Linked DNA regions of Coturnix japonica. The protein of the gene in region 2 interacts with the protein of the main gene of each other region in a pairwise test. Links are inferred from orthologs where the notes say so. Each region holds a gene or a part of one and is shown on either strand. Other genes may lie near its edges.

The links.
Region 1: the proteins of CYTH1 (region 2) and ITGB2 interact in a two-hybrid assay, tested with the Homo sapiens proteins (2 studies listed by BioGRID). The link is inferred for Coturnix japonica from reciprocal best matches to the Homo sapiens genes CYTH1 and ITGB2.

Annotation. Positions count from the first base shown.
Region 1 is NC_029522.1:2,234,618-2,240,412, reverse strand, and holds part of ITGB2 (integrin beta-2), read right to left. Parts: 5' UTR 5,674-5,795; intron 1,767-5,673; 5' UTR 1,764-1,766; coding exon 1,700-1,763; intron 1,500-1,699; coding exon 1,411-1,499; intron 1,167-1,410; coding exon 983-1,166; intron 607-982; coding exon 436-606; intron 205-435; coding exon 1-204.
Region 2 is NC_029533.1:4,597,626-4,604,142, forward strand, and holds the start of CYTH1 (cytohesin-1), read right to left. Parts: upstream 4,272-6,517; 5' UTR 4,141-4,271; coding exon 4,068-4,140; intron 2,598-4,067; exon of another isoform or gene 2,318-2,597; coding exon of another isoform or gene 2,293-2,317; intron 1,209-2,292; exon of another isoform or gene 1,134-1,208; intron 309-1,133; coding exon 226-308; intron 1-225. UniProt on the Homo sapiens protein: Promotes guanine-nucleotide exchange on ARF1, ARF5 and ARF6. Promotes the activation of ARF factors through replacement of GDP with GTP.

The DNA.
Region 1 (5,795 bases), on a different chromosome or scaffold from region 2:
CTTCTGGGGCATCCAGGTTCCCTGAGATGAACTGCTTCCCCACTTCACTCTCAAACTTCTCAGCATTGTCGGTCAGTGAGAGGATGTGTTTGAAGGCAAAGGGGGGCTGGCAATTACTGTCCTTGTTGGGGCAAGGGTTCTTCAGCTTCTCAGGGTGTGTGTTGACAAAAGGCAGTACTGTCTTGTCCACAAAGGAACCAAAACCTAGGACGCCCAGGACCATGGGCATTGTTAGAGATGGAAGAGGTTGGCAAGTGTTCTGATGGCACCGGGCATGGACAGCCTCCTGGTTCCTGCATGAGGAGCCAAGTACCTGTCCACATCCCTTGCTCCAGTACACTGCCTCACACTGCCTGCATCCTGCATCTTATTTTGTCCACTGGCCTCACTACTCTTCCCAGCAAACAGCTGGCCCTGTGCTTCAGACAGGCTCACCTATGCGGCGAGAGGGTGTGGTGTTCTCCAGGGCTCTAAGCAGCTCTCCTCCTAGCTTCTTCACATTCTCTAGGTCATCTAGCATGGAATAGGAGAGGTCCATGAGGTAGTAGATATCAATGGGGTAACCTGTGGCGCGGCGAAACTTCACGTGAAATTCAGCAGGCTCCCCTGTGGGATAGAGACACCAGGTTCAGCCACTGTGCTGTGGATCATATCCTGCCTCATTGCCCACCCCACACTGGGATCTTTCTTTGGGAGAAAATGGAGAGGAAACCTTTGACATGCCACCACACCCCAGCACAGCTACAGGCTCCATGTTTATCTCCCCTGAAGCATCCCCCACCCTCACATCTTCACAAGAGCTTTTCCTTCAAGACTTTACAGCTCCTGTGAGGTCCCTCAGGTTTCCTGCAGGATCACCTCCTGACAACAGTTTTGAAGAAAGGGTAAAAAACATGTGCAACAAATGTTGGCCAGCTTCAGCTGCTACCCAGCTGAGTGTGGGGATGGGCAGAAGGTTATTATCACAACACAGGAATCATACTTATCCTCAGCTTCAGATGCACCTCCTGGGGAGTCAGCTGTATCTTATTGCTGAATGCACTGTCCTGTGTCCTTTTGATCTCATTGACTGGAAACTCAATCTCGTTCTCTGGGCATCCCCTCTGCTGCAGCTGCTCTACAGTGTCACAGCGGTTGGAGTCTGGCTCACCGGCTTTGGTGAAATCCTGAGTGTTGCAACATCAAACAGAAAAATTAGGGGGGCAGGAGGTAAGTAAACACACAACTCCAATGACCCAACTCCCAAACCAGCTCTGCTGGGGCTCTGGGATATTGGCGGAGAAAGTAAAGGCTGAAGTTCTGGTCTCATCCAGCAGGGAGGACACAAAGTCCTACCAGGACTGACTGCCCACTGGCAGGATGGCTCTCACTGCCCTTTTGCTGATAGCATGTGAGGATACGGGGACCTACCAGCTTCTTGCACCAGGCGCAGCCAGGGCCAGACTGGATGCAGTTCTTGCATGTCCCCACCTTGATCTTGGGACACTCTGCAGCAAAGGCTGGAATGTGGAGAAGATGAGTTAGAAATGGAGGACCAGCACCAGAGGCAGCTGTGGGGCTCCCAGCAGCAGGCACCCACACCTGTATGGCTCTCAGTGCCACATGTAGTGCAGTGATGGGTATTTCCCCACTCCAGCACATTTCAGTGACCACATGAGGTGTTGGGGGAAGGTAGGGAGGAAGGGCAGGTGGGGTTCACCTGTTGTCAGCAGCAGCAGCACCCAGGTCATTGCTGGCAGACAGAGGCAGCAGTCACGTGGCATTTTCTGCAAGAGAAAAGGCATCCCTATGACAGCGGCCTCAGGAAAGGAAGCCTCCAAATCTCACAGAAAATGTCTGCAGAGATGGTGGCACTGAGTGGATGTCTCCACCCCAAAGCAGGTTGGGTCCTGCGAGCATGACCCCAACTGACAGCTCGCATGCTCTTAGAAAAATACACTGGTATCCAGCTAAACAGAGCTTTTGGGCTGAACATGAACGTCAGCAGAGCAGCAGCTGGCACTGCATCAGTGCAACTTCAGCTGAACCGCTATGTAGACTGGTGTGATATTTATCCAGATTCTTCTCCATCTATATTCGTGTACGTACGTAATGCAGAAAGGCTCAGTCCTGAAGTGAAACCCAACAGGGTTGTGGCCTTCCAACATTGATGTATTTGGGGATGTGAGAAAAGAGGAAAAAAGAGGAGGAACAATGAACGTTTCAATTTTCAGCAATAATAGATACATCAGAAGGACATGTCACTGGTTTTGAAATGGCTCTTATGCCACTGTGAGCAATCAGACACCTTCTCCCTGGTTCTGTCAGTGCTGCAGAGCATCATCAGCCTGTCCTGAGAACCTGCCAGACTGAGCAGCTCATGGTGGGAAGGAAGCAGCAAGGGAAATGCACAGAAAGCACCAAACCCCAAGCGGTAAATATGGCTGCTCAGAGCTGCTCCTGAGGCACAAGGATGTGTTTGCAGCTTGTCAGCCGCTGTGAGGCACCAGACGAGTCAAGGGTGACACCGACCAGAAAGATCAGATGCTAAAGGAGATTAATAGGTGTCATTTTGTGACAGCTGCACGCTGGGGTTTGATGCCTGGCTGTTCTGTGAGCTTGGAGGTGCGCTGGTAGCAGCAGAGTGCAGGGTGTCAGGGTGTGAAGATCTGCAGCCTTAAGAGGTGACCACCTCAGGGCTGAGCTCCCCAGCAGTGCTCTGGAGGCCATCACCTCTCTATGCAGACAGGAAAAGGTGACTCTGTGCTCACCTGGTCATGGTTTCAGAGCCCAGGACTCTGCCTTGCTGTGCCATTCTGTGATGGGTCTGCAGCTCCATCCCTGTCTGTGACCATACCCACTGCATCTCCGTGGGCACTCCATGGGTGATTGGGCTCTGGGAGCAGGTGCAGAAGGAACACCCTCAGTGTTCACACAAGCTAGCTCTGGCTGGGTTTCATAGTGGGTGCACCTCTTGCCTGTCTCATAGTCGGACTCCCACTGGCAGCCATCTTCTTCTCATGGAAGGAAAGCCCGTAACTGCATGTGTGCGGACATGTGCCCTTTGTACTCACTTAGGCCAAGAAGGGAGCTGTATAAGCCATGAGATTAGCCACAGACTGAGGCCCTCCGAGCTCCCTGTGCTTGGATTGCTGGAGATAGTGGGTTCATACATACAGGCTCATTCCATAAAAAGGAGTAAGTTTCCAATTACAACAGGATTAAAAATACCTCCCTGATCCCAGAAACACAGTCCATATAAGCCCAGCTCTGTTTGATAATGAGTTTTGTACTAAAGGGTTCGTTTTGTTGGCTGAATTTTGGTGCCCTTATAACGCTAACAGTCCTTTTTTTCCCGGCAGCAAGGGTGTAAAACACACCCTAATGCTAGGGGACTGCAGCAGCAGAAAAGCTCACTGCTTCTTTTCATTCCACTGCAGAAGGAAATTATTCACTGCTCTGTGGGTGGATCAGCGTGTATGCGATATAGGGTGACTTTCAAAGGAAGCAAACGGGACTTCTGCTTTTGTCTGCCTCCTCACAGTCAGCCCCAGCTTTTCTGTTTGACGTGGTGCTAGCAGGGCCCAGGCAGCGACCCTGCAGTGTCTTCTCCATCTGCCCTTGCCATCCATTTGTCTCAGTGTCAGATTCACACTGCTAAGGGTTCACTGCTCCCAGCTGTGCTCTGCTAGGGACAGATTCACTTCTCATGGCAAGCAGAGGGATGCACAAAGACCATGCTCCTGTTTGCAAGCTGGGATTTATAAATAGAGCTGAAGGGGAAGTGTCAAAGCTAGCTGCTGCTGTCTCATTGCTATAAATAGGATGGGAGTTCAACAGCAGAGATGGGTCTTGCAGACTGGTGGCCACAACCCTCCTTTGCTGCTTTGCTAATTATGTTCTTCTTGTAAAGTGGAAGGACATCTTCCTGTGCCCAGTATCTCTGGAGGACTCTTGGCAGGCTTGCATCATCTGCCTGTAACAGTGAGGCTGCCATGCACAGAGTGAAAATGAGCACCACAGAGCACAGCAAGGCAGGGCGGTACATAGCACTTGGTTGTGGCTGTTTCTTCTCAAACTTTGGTGTTATGGGTAATTCCCATCAACGTAGACAACCATCAAGAGGGCTAGGATTGGCTGAGACACTGAGGCTCTTCCTCCATGAAAAAATGTGTGTATCTATCTATTTATGTACAGGTATATATGGATGTATATACATACACATCAATAACAGTAGCCTTGCAGGGTCTGCCTGCATCATCTCTAGTTTTATATATACATCTATCTATTTAAAAATATATATTTATAGAAAGGTAGATATAAGTACACAAAGCCTTGAAGGGTCTGTTCCAGTCGCTGATTGCAGCCTCCTTCTGTCACTGGTGCAAATGTCCTGTTGCACCTGTTCTAGGCTAAGCAGGAATCTGTTTATCATACACCATTTAGGACAGAGGAGCTGTTCCTTTTCTCTTTGGTGCTTTAGTGAAGTCCCCTGGCTAGCATTACCCATTTGGCAGTAGTGTAATGAAGTGGTTTGCCTCCTACCTGCAGCGACCAAACTGCAAAAGTGGGAGACTTCCAGCTTCTTGTGCTTCATGCGAGAAAGTAGGTCCTGCATTGCAGTTGCTAACCCACTGAGTTTAGTTACAACTCACTACAAAACCACTGAGCACAGCAGGATGTGACAATAATGATAGAGAAATGCAACATTATAGCTTTCCCACGCTTCCCTGCAGAGGAACTAGCACCTGTGTCAGCCACAGTGCTTGATATCTCTGTGAATGTTCATGTGTTTGCTTTTCATCTCCCTGTGAGGCACGGAGCCAGACCTTTAAAAATCATCGAAAATGAAAGTCTGTCTGCTTGAGAATGATTCAAAACTGAAAAGCAGCTCTCCGGTTTCTCCATCACGCATGGGCTATACTTACAGGACCTACACCTTCCCCTCGCTATGTTAGCAAGCAAGCTTTTTCCTGTCTTAAAGGCTTGGTGAAGGTCTGTCTTTCTCCAGAGTAAGTTTACATGCATCCTTTGCTGTATTCCCTGTTTCCACTATGCATCTTCTGAGGTCATTTGCTGAGTGTAATACACGCAGAGATAAATGAAAAGCAGGGTTTTTCTTGCCCCTCTCCCCTAGCCCTTCATTCAGGCTTTGCCCATTCCACAGAAGCAAAGGCATTCTCATCTGGCAGGCCCCAGTGGGACAGATTGCTTGTCCCTGCTTTCCAATCAACTCCTTATCACAACAGAGCTGGGGTTGTTTCTGGGCACAAGGTTTGATGTGTTCAGATAACATCCCTATGCCCATGTGTGAGGTGACACAGCACTGGGTAGAAACTGGTGTGTCCCTCAGCTGATATTTGGAAGGATGCAACAAGAGCACCCTGGGCCTTTGCTGCTTCCCAAGCCCACAGGTGGGTGAGGAAGGTGCTGGTTGGGGTCTGAAACCCTCCCCTAATAAATGCCTGCACTTCCAGGCTCAATCCATCCTCTGAAAGCAGAAATGCAAAGATGAAGCAAGTGCTCTTGGGAAGGCCATGTGCCAGGCTGCAGCATGCCAAAGGACTCACCTTGCATGAAGCTGGATCTAGAGTTGCAAAACAAATTTACAGAAACCCCATGGCTATGAAACTTCTTAGTTACCCATCAACCTCCCCCGAGAAAGGAGGAGCACAAAAGTGAAAGAGTACTCACATCAAGCCTTCCCTTCGGCTCCTCTTCTGGAACTGCAGTGAGGCTGGAAGCCCTGTGGTTGCACTGCCTAGCTGGGAGCAGCAGCTGAGAATCAGGAGCTCTGGTGCTGGTCCTTCCTCCTT
Region 2 (6,517 bases):
AAGGAAAGGGGACAGGGGATGGGAGCACAGTGCCAGACCACAGCTCCTGCATGGACACTTCAGCTGCGGGGCAGCCCCATCCAAAGCAGCCTCTCTTCCTTCCTCCCCTCCTGCCAGGAGTGAGGTGAGGGTCCTTGGATGGGGTTGGGCTCAAGCAAGAGGCCTCACCTGGGACAGCCAGGGATGGGGATGTGGGTGTGCATGCAGCAGCCCTGAATGCTGTACCTGAATGTCAGCCAGCAGCTCCTGCTTGCGGCGGCGGATGTTCTCCAGCTCCTGGCACTCCTCTGGGGTCAGGTCACTGGGCACTGTAAGGGACAGGGACAGCACAAGGAATCACTCACTCCAGGCTCCTGCCAGCAGCTGGCACGTGGTGCTGCTGGAGGATCCAGTGAGCCCCAGCCTTGCACACAGCCCAGCACCCCCAGCAGCACGCAAGGAATGCAATGGACACTGTGCTCCCCGGCTGGGGGGAGCCTGGCCCCCACATTCCTGCTGATATAAGCTGAGGAAGTGAGTTCTGGCCCAGCCCCTGGTGCCACTGCAGCCCCTGGCCCCTATGCTCACCGGGGCCATGGCACCACAATGGGACTTAGAGCCACCCAAGCAATGTTCATCCACAACGGGTAAACCCTGGAGAGAGCTGGCTCCAGGCCACCCTTGGTGCCTACTCTGTGCTGGAACAGGGGTGAACCAATGCACCCCAACACACATCACTGCACGGGGGGACACCTGGCTGCCCTGCTTGGCCCACAGCAGCCGGGGCTGAGCCACACGCTCCCATTGCCCCCCCTCACACTGCAGCTCATGGGTAACATTCCTGCAGCTCCCCAGCCCGTGACCTCCCGCTCTGCGGTTACGTGGCACCCGCTGCTCCTGTTCCCAAGGTCACCCCCACAGCCCCCGCCTACCCCTGCCCTACCATCACCTTCCAGCTCACATCCTACAACAAGGCCACGACCAAGGCTCCAAGATCGGTGCCCGCACCACAAAGCAGCCCACACCATCCTCCCCCCACCTGTCCCCAGGTGCCCACCGCCCCCTCCATCCCACCCTGCATTGCCCCAGGTCCACCTCAGTCTGTCACTCCTTGGCAACCCAACAGCCAGGACCCTCCATCCCCTCTCTCACACCCCAGCACCGTCTGCTCTCCGTTCCCAGCGTAGTTCCCCCCTCCTCTCCAGGGCTCACGGTGCCTCTGGGGTGGCTGCGCTCACACGAACCGAATGTCCCAGCTCAGCACTTTCCTCATTCCACTCGCCTTCTCTGCTGAGGTTCCTCCTTTAGAGAAATCCCCTCTGCAAAGGTCAGCAGCAGCCTCGGCTTGCGACACGATCCCTCTGGACTCGATGGAACACTTCCCAATATTACAGCACCAGGTTCTGAACTCTATCTATGCCAACAATGCCAGAAGCATTGCTCCGTAGGCTGCACAAACCCTCCCTAGCACTGGAATGGAGTCGGTCCCACCGGAGCACGGCCTCCCCGGTCCAGTTGTGTCCAGCACCCTGCAGGATGCAGCTTGCTGGGAGCTGCAGCGTGGGGCTGCGTGGGAGGTGAAATTCCGTGCCAGACCGCAGCCCTCCCAGGCCCACAGAGGGTGGGTGGATGGGTGGGAGGCTGCAGCAGCGACAGAGCGGTGCTGGCACACGGTGGGTGCACAGAGCCCTGGGGGAACACAGCCTCTGCCCACCCCCGGGCAGTGTGGGCAAGGGGCTCATAGGGACTCATAGCAGCCACAAAGCCCAGCCCCCCCCCAAGCCTGCCTGATGCTGTGCTGGGAGAGCACTCGTGACATGGCCCAGCCGTGTCAGCAGCAGCAGGAGGAAGAGAAACCCCAGACGCAGAGCTTTTCTCAGCGAAGGACGCAGGCGTTAACCCTTCCATAGCACCGAGTGGAGCTGCAGCAACCTCTGAGCCTGCACAAGGCTGCAAGAGGGGGCTGGAGCAGAACACCAAATCCAGCAGCCATGCCAGGCTATCATCCCATGCCAGGCTAACATCCCATGCCAGGCTATCATCCCAGGCTGCCATGCTGGGTGCAAGGATTCTCAGCACAAACCACAGAGCACCAATACTCTGAGCCATCCCCCCAACCTCTGCAGAGCAATGCAGGGGAGCTGCTGCCTCACCCCCAGGGCAGTGAGGAGCATGGCAAGGCTCCATCCTGGATTCAAGGAGCAAATACCCCGCTCACACCATGCCTTGAACAGACACAAAGCCCCTCTGCATCGCATTCAGCCCCACGTGCCTCCTTCCCACCCACTGCCCCACGCAGGCCCATCTGCTCACCGCTGCCCTGCACCCCGAGGACCATCCTGCTGGGCTGTGTCCCGCTGCCCACGTCTGCACAGTGCTGCAGAGGTGCTGCTCTTTGGGGTGCCAACAGCTGCCCCCTCCCAGAGCTTCCTGGGTGAGTCAGGGCAGCTCCAGGCCAATGAGCTCAGCGCTGTGCCAGGCGTCATCGCAGCCCGGCTGAGAACTGGCACCAGCAACACCCGGTTCCTGTGCAGCCAGAGCCCCGCGCCCCCTCCTCGGCCCCCAGGGTCACTGCCGCCCACCCATCCTTGCAGGCACTGGAGCTGGCCCGGCCCTTCCTTCCTCGGGGGCTGCCAGGATGCATGCGGCTCAGCACGTCCCAAGCTCAGGGCGGTGACACCAGGGACCCCTCTCCCACCCCATCCAGAGCCCCAACCCTGCCCTGAAGATCTGGCACTGTCCAGCCATATCCCCCCCCCCATGTGTGGGTTCAGGGCCTGTATAGGCTGTAAGGACCACCTGCTCTCATTCCCTGCAATAGGGCCGTGCCTGCAGCAGCACAGCCCTCAGCAAGGTCCTGTCCCGCTGCAGCTGCCCGGGGAGACCACAAGAGCTCCGGCACATTGACTCAGCTAAATCCTGCTCCACAGCGTGTGATGGAAAAACAGCATCCAGAGCATCTCCCAGGAAAGCTCAGGGAAGAAGGAGCTAAAAAGAGGCTCACATTGGCCTTCCAGCTGAACGCTGTGCTGCAGGGACACAGCCCTCCTGCTGCACAGCTCCATCCACAAGCAGAGCTGAACAGACCGCAGGGATGCCCCAGCCCAGGGCAGGGGCTGCTGACCACAGGGCATTGCTTGTGGGTTCCACCATGGGGCTCCTGCTGCACCCCACTGCTGGGGGGGGGGGTTGCTGAGGGGCCCCAAGAAACTTCCTGCCGCTGCCCCAGTGCACCACATCCTGTTTTCACTGTGCTGTGTGCACATCCTGGGTTGCGTCAGCCCTGTTCTTCCCCACAGACAGATGAGGTGCGTCAGGAGCACAGCATAGGGCGGCTCCAAGATAGAATCCCCCAACCCCACCCCATAGCTGAGAGCTGCCGGGGGTTCTCAGCCCCTTGGAGCAGCCCTGCCCCCAGCAAGGAACCCAGCCCACCAGTTCCAGGCTCCTGCACCCCCTAAGCACAGAGCCCATCCTGGCTGCGGGGCTGGAGTACAGCAGGGGCACACAACGGAGCCACATCCATCCTCACTGTGCTATGCCTTCCTACAGCCCCACGTCCTGCAAGAGTGCCAGGAGTGCACCCCATGTGCTCCTTGCTTACTCTCTATTCCCAGGTCTCAGCTCGGGAGCAGGAGCCTGCAGACAGACAACAGCAGCTCACAGGCACTGCCAGCCCACGGTGGCAGCTGTGACACAGCAGGCGTCAGGGTGCCCCAGCCAGGTTTTGTCTGGAGGACGTGGGCTGGAGCTGTGCTCACAGCCACGCATGCTCCTTCCTGCTCCGAGTAGGGCAGCAGTGAGGGCATCACCCGCAGCAGCGCTGGGGTAAGAGAGCAAGGAGCTGCTGGACACATCTCACTGTGCCACGTGAACCCACTGTGCTCCCATGGGCTCCCCATCCCAGCAATGTGGTGCAATACAAGCTGCACCCAGAGCCCAGGGGGGCCCAAGCCTGGCAGCGCACGGTGGAAGGAGACAGCAAGACAACTGGGACTGTGTGCTGCTGTCAGCATGAGCCATATGGAGCCAGAGCTACGGGCACCTCGTCTGCTGGGGGGGACAGGGATGGGGCACAAAGCACCTACCTGCCGTGGTGGCCACGGAGGGGCAGAGGAAGGCCTGGAAGCTGGAGGCGCAGAGCTCGCTGACCGTCCCCATGCTGCGCAGTGCCGGCTCCCCCGGGGCAGGCTGAGGGCAGGAGGGCACCGCACAGCAGCTCCCTGCAGCTGGGGCTGCCCCGGGTGTCCCCGCTCCTCCTGGAGCAGGGGAAGGCGGCTCTGGCAGCGGGAGGCTCCAGCAGCAGGAGCCCACGCGCCGGTCGCAGCCAATCCCGCTCCGTGCCGGCACCGAACGCTGCTGTGTTCCTGGGCACTCAAAGCCACTTGGAGGACGTAGAGTAGGGAAGTTCCCAACAGCACCCCTGGTATCAGGCTGCCTGCCCCCCCTCTGCCCCCCTGCATGCCCCGGCCCCTGGGTGGCTGACGGCGGGGGTATTTTTAGAGCGGTTTTATCCCACCGTATTAGAGCTTTAAGCATCAAGAGCCGCTGGTTGCGTAGCAACCTTCCCTGCATAAAAGGAAGGTGCATAAAGAAACACAACGGGCTGGAGCTGGCGTGGGGAGCCCCCAGTTGTGGGGAACAGGGGAACGCTGCTCCCCAGTATGGCCACAATGGATTCAGGCACCTGGGAATGCAGAGCGGGCAGCCTGGAGCTGGCACATCATGGCTGTGATGGAGATGATTCTCCAGGCCCTGGCAGCCGGGATGCTCCTACAGCAGGAGCTGGGGCTCTGCCCGAGCTATGGGCCTCCAGCAGGGCTGGGGGCAGCACTCAGCCCCACCGCACCCGGCCCCCAACCTGCCAGCCCCACAGGCAGCGAGGGAGCCCAAACCGGACAGACAGCTCCTTCCCTTCCTCCGAGCAGGAGTGATTCCCCAGCGTGGGGCACGTCCGTGAGTAACAGACTGCAGAGCCTGTCGGGGCATGAGGCCGTGTCCTGCAGACGGCACCTGGTACTGGGTCCTGACTGCTGCTGGGAGCCTGCTGCAATGGGCTGAGCTGGAGAACCCCCAGGGTGGGCAGATAGCATCCAGATGGGGAAGGGCTATGGGAATGGGCACAGGACCTTGGGGGCATGGCTGGGGACAGGCAAGAGTTACCCTGGTGTTGGGAGCAGCTGTGGATGGATGGGAAGGAGATGGGAACGGCTGCTCACAGGTGCTCATCACCTCCATGACTGAGTTGTGCTGCTTCCCCTTCCCTTGGAAGCAAACAGCTTCTGCCTCCTCCTCACTGCAGAGGTGAAAGGTGTGAGGAGCTGCAGGGACACAGGGCTGGGCCAGGGGGAGCCTGTGCAGGGAGGGCAGCCACGGGCACTTGAAATGGGCTGCAATAATCACAGCTGCACCAACTGTGGCTCAGTCTCTGCTTCCACATTGCAGCCCCAGCTCAGGGCACTGTGCTGTGCACCCAGAGCCATGGGTGGGCTGAAACAACAGCTCAGGGATGTGTGGCTCTGCTTGAGCCTCCATGCAATTTCTGTGTGTCAGCAGTGCTGCTCGTCACGCTCTGCTCTGCTCTACCTTGGCTAACAGCCTTTCTCACAACACTGCATGCTCTGCAGCCCCACTATCCCCACCCCCTGAGCTCAGTCTGCCCCCAGTCCCACACTACCTGGTGCTCACCCCAGCCCCACTATGCACAGAGCTTCACCCCCTCGTGTCCCCACAGCCCCCGCTGCCTGCTGCAGGGCTGCACCACCTCCAAAGCGCATCACTGACCCCATACTAAGGCACCTGCCGGGTCCTACCCAGACAGCAGGGCTGGCAATGGGCTGCCCACCCCCAGCCCACCCCGGCGCTGCCCCAGCCGCGGGCCCCCAGCACAAGCCGCTTTGCAGAGCCCGCATCAACCCCGCTTAGAGAAATCCCTTAATCCTCCAGGGCAGCGCCAGCCGTAATCCCTCGGTGCTGTGGGATTACCCTTGGGCCGGGCACAGTCCGGGACGCAGCGCTGGGACAACCGGGGCGCCCCGACGGGCCGATCCCGGACAGCCGCCCCGTGCCGGGGATGGGGTGACACGGGGGGACACAGCTGTGCCGCCAGCCGGGATTTACTCCCTACCGACACACGGTGCTGGTGGTGGGGCCGCCACCTGCACGACTCCGAATCAACGCGGTCATTGACGCTGCCCAACGCCGGGAACGAGTCGGGCCGAGCCCCGGAGAAACGCCGAGGCCGAACAGCAGCGGCCGGTCCCGGAGCAGCCCGGGGTGGTTCCGACGGGCGGCATCACGGCGGCCGAGCCCCAGTTCCGCACACCCCGCCCCGGGAGGAGCCGCCTTATCGCCGCCCGCAGCCCCGCACCACCGCCCCGCGGCCCGACGGCGGCAGCCCCGGTGCTACAGCCGCCCCGCAGCCCCCCCCCGGTGCCCCCCGTGCCCCCCCGCACTGACCGTAGCCGCCCTCCTCGTCCATGCCGCCTCCGTCGCTCCGGCCCCGCCCGCGTGACGGCGGCACCGAGGCCGCAGAGGG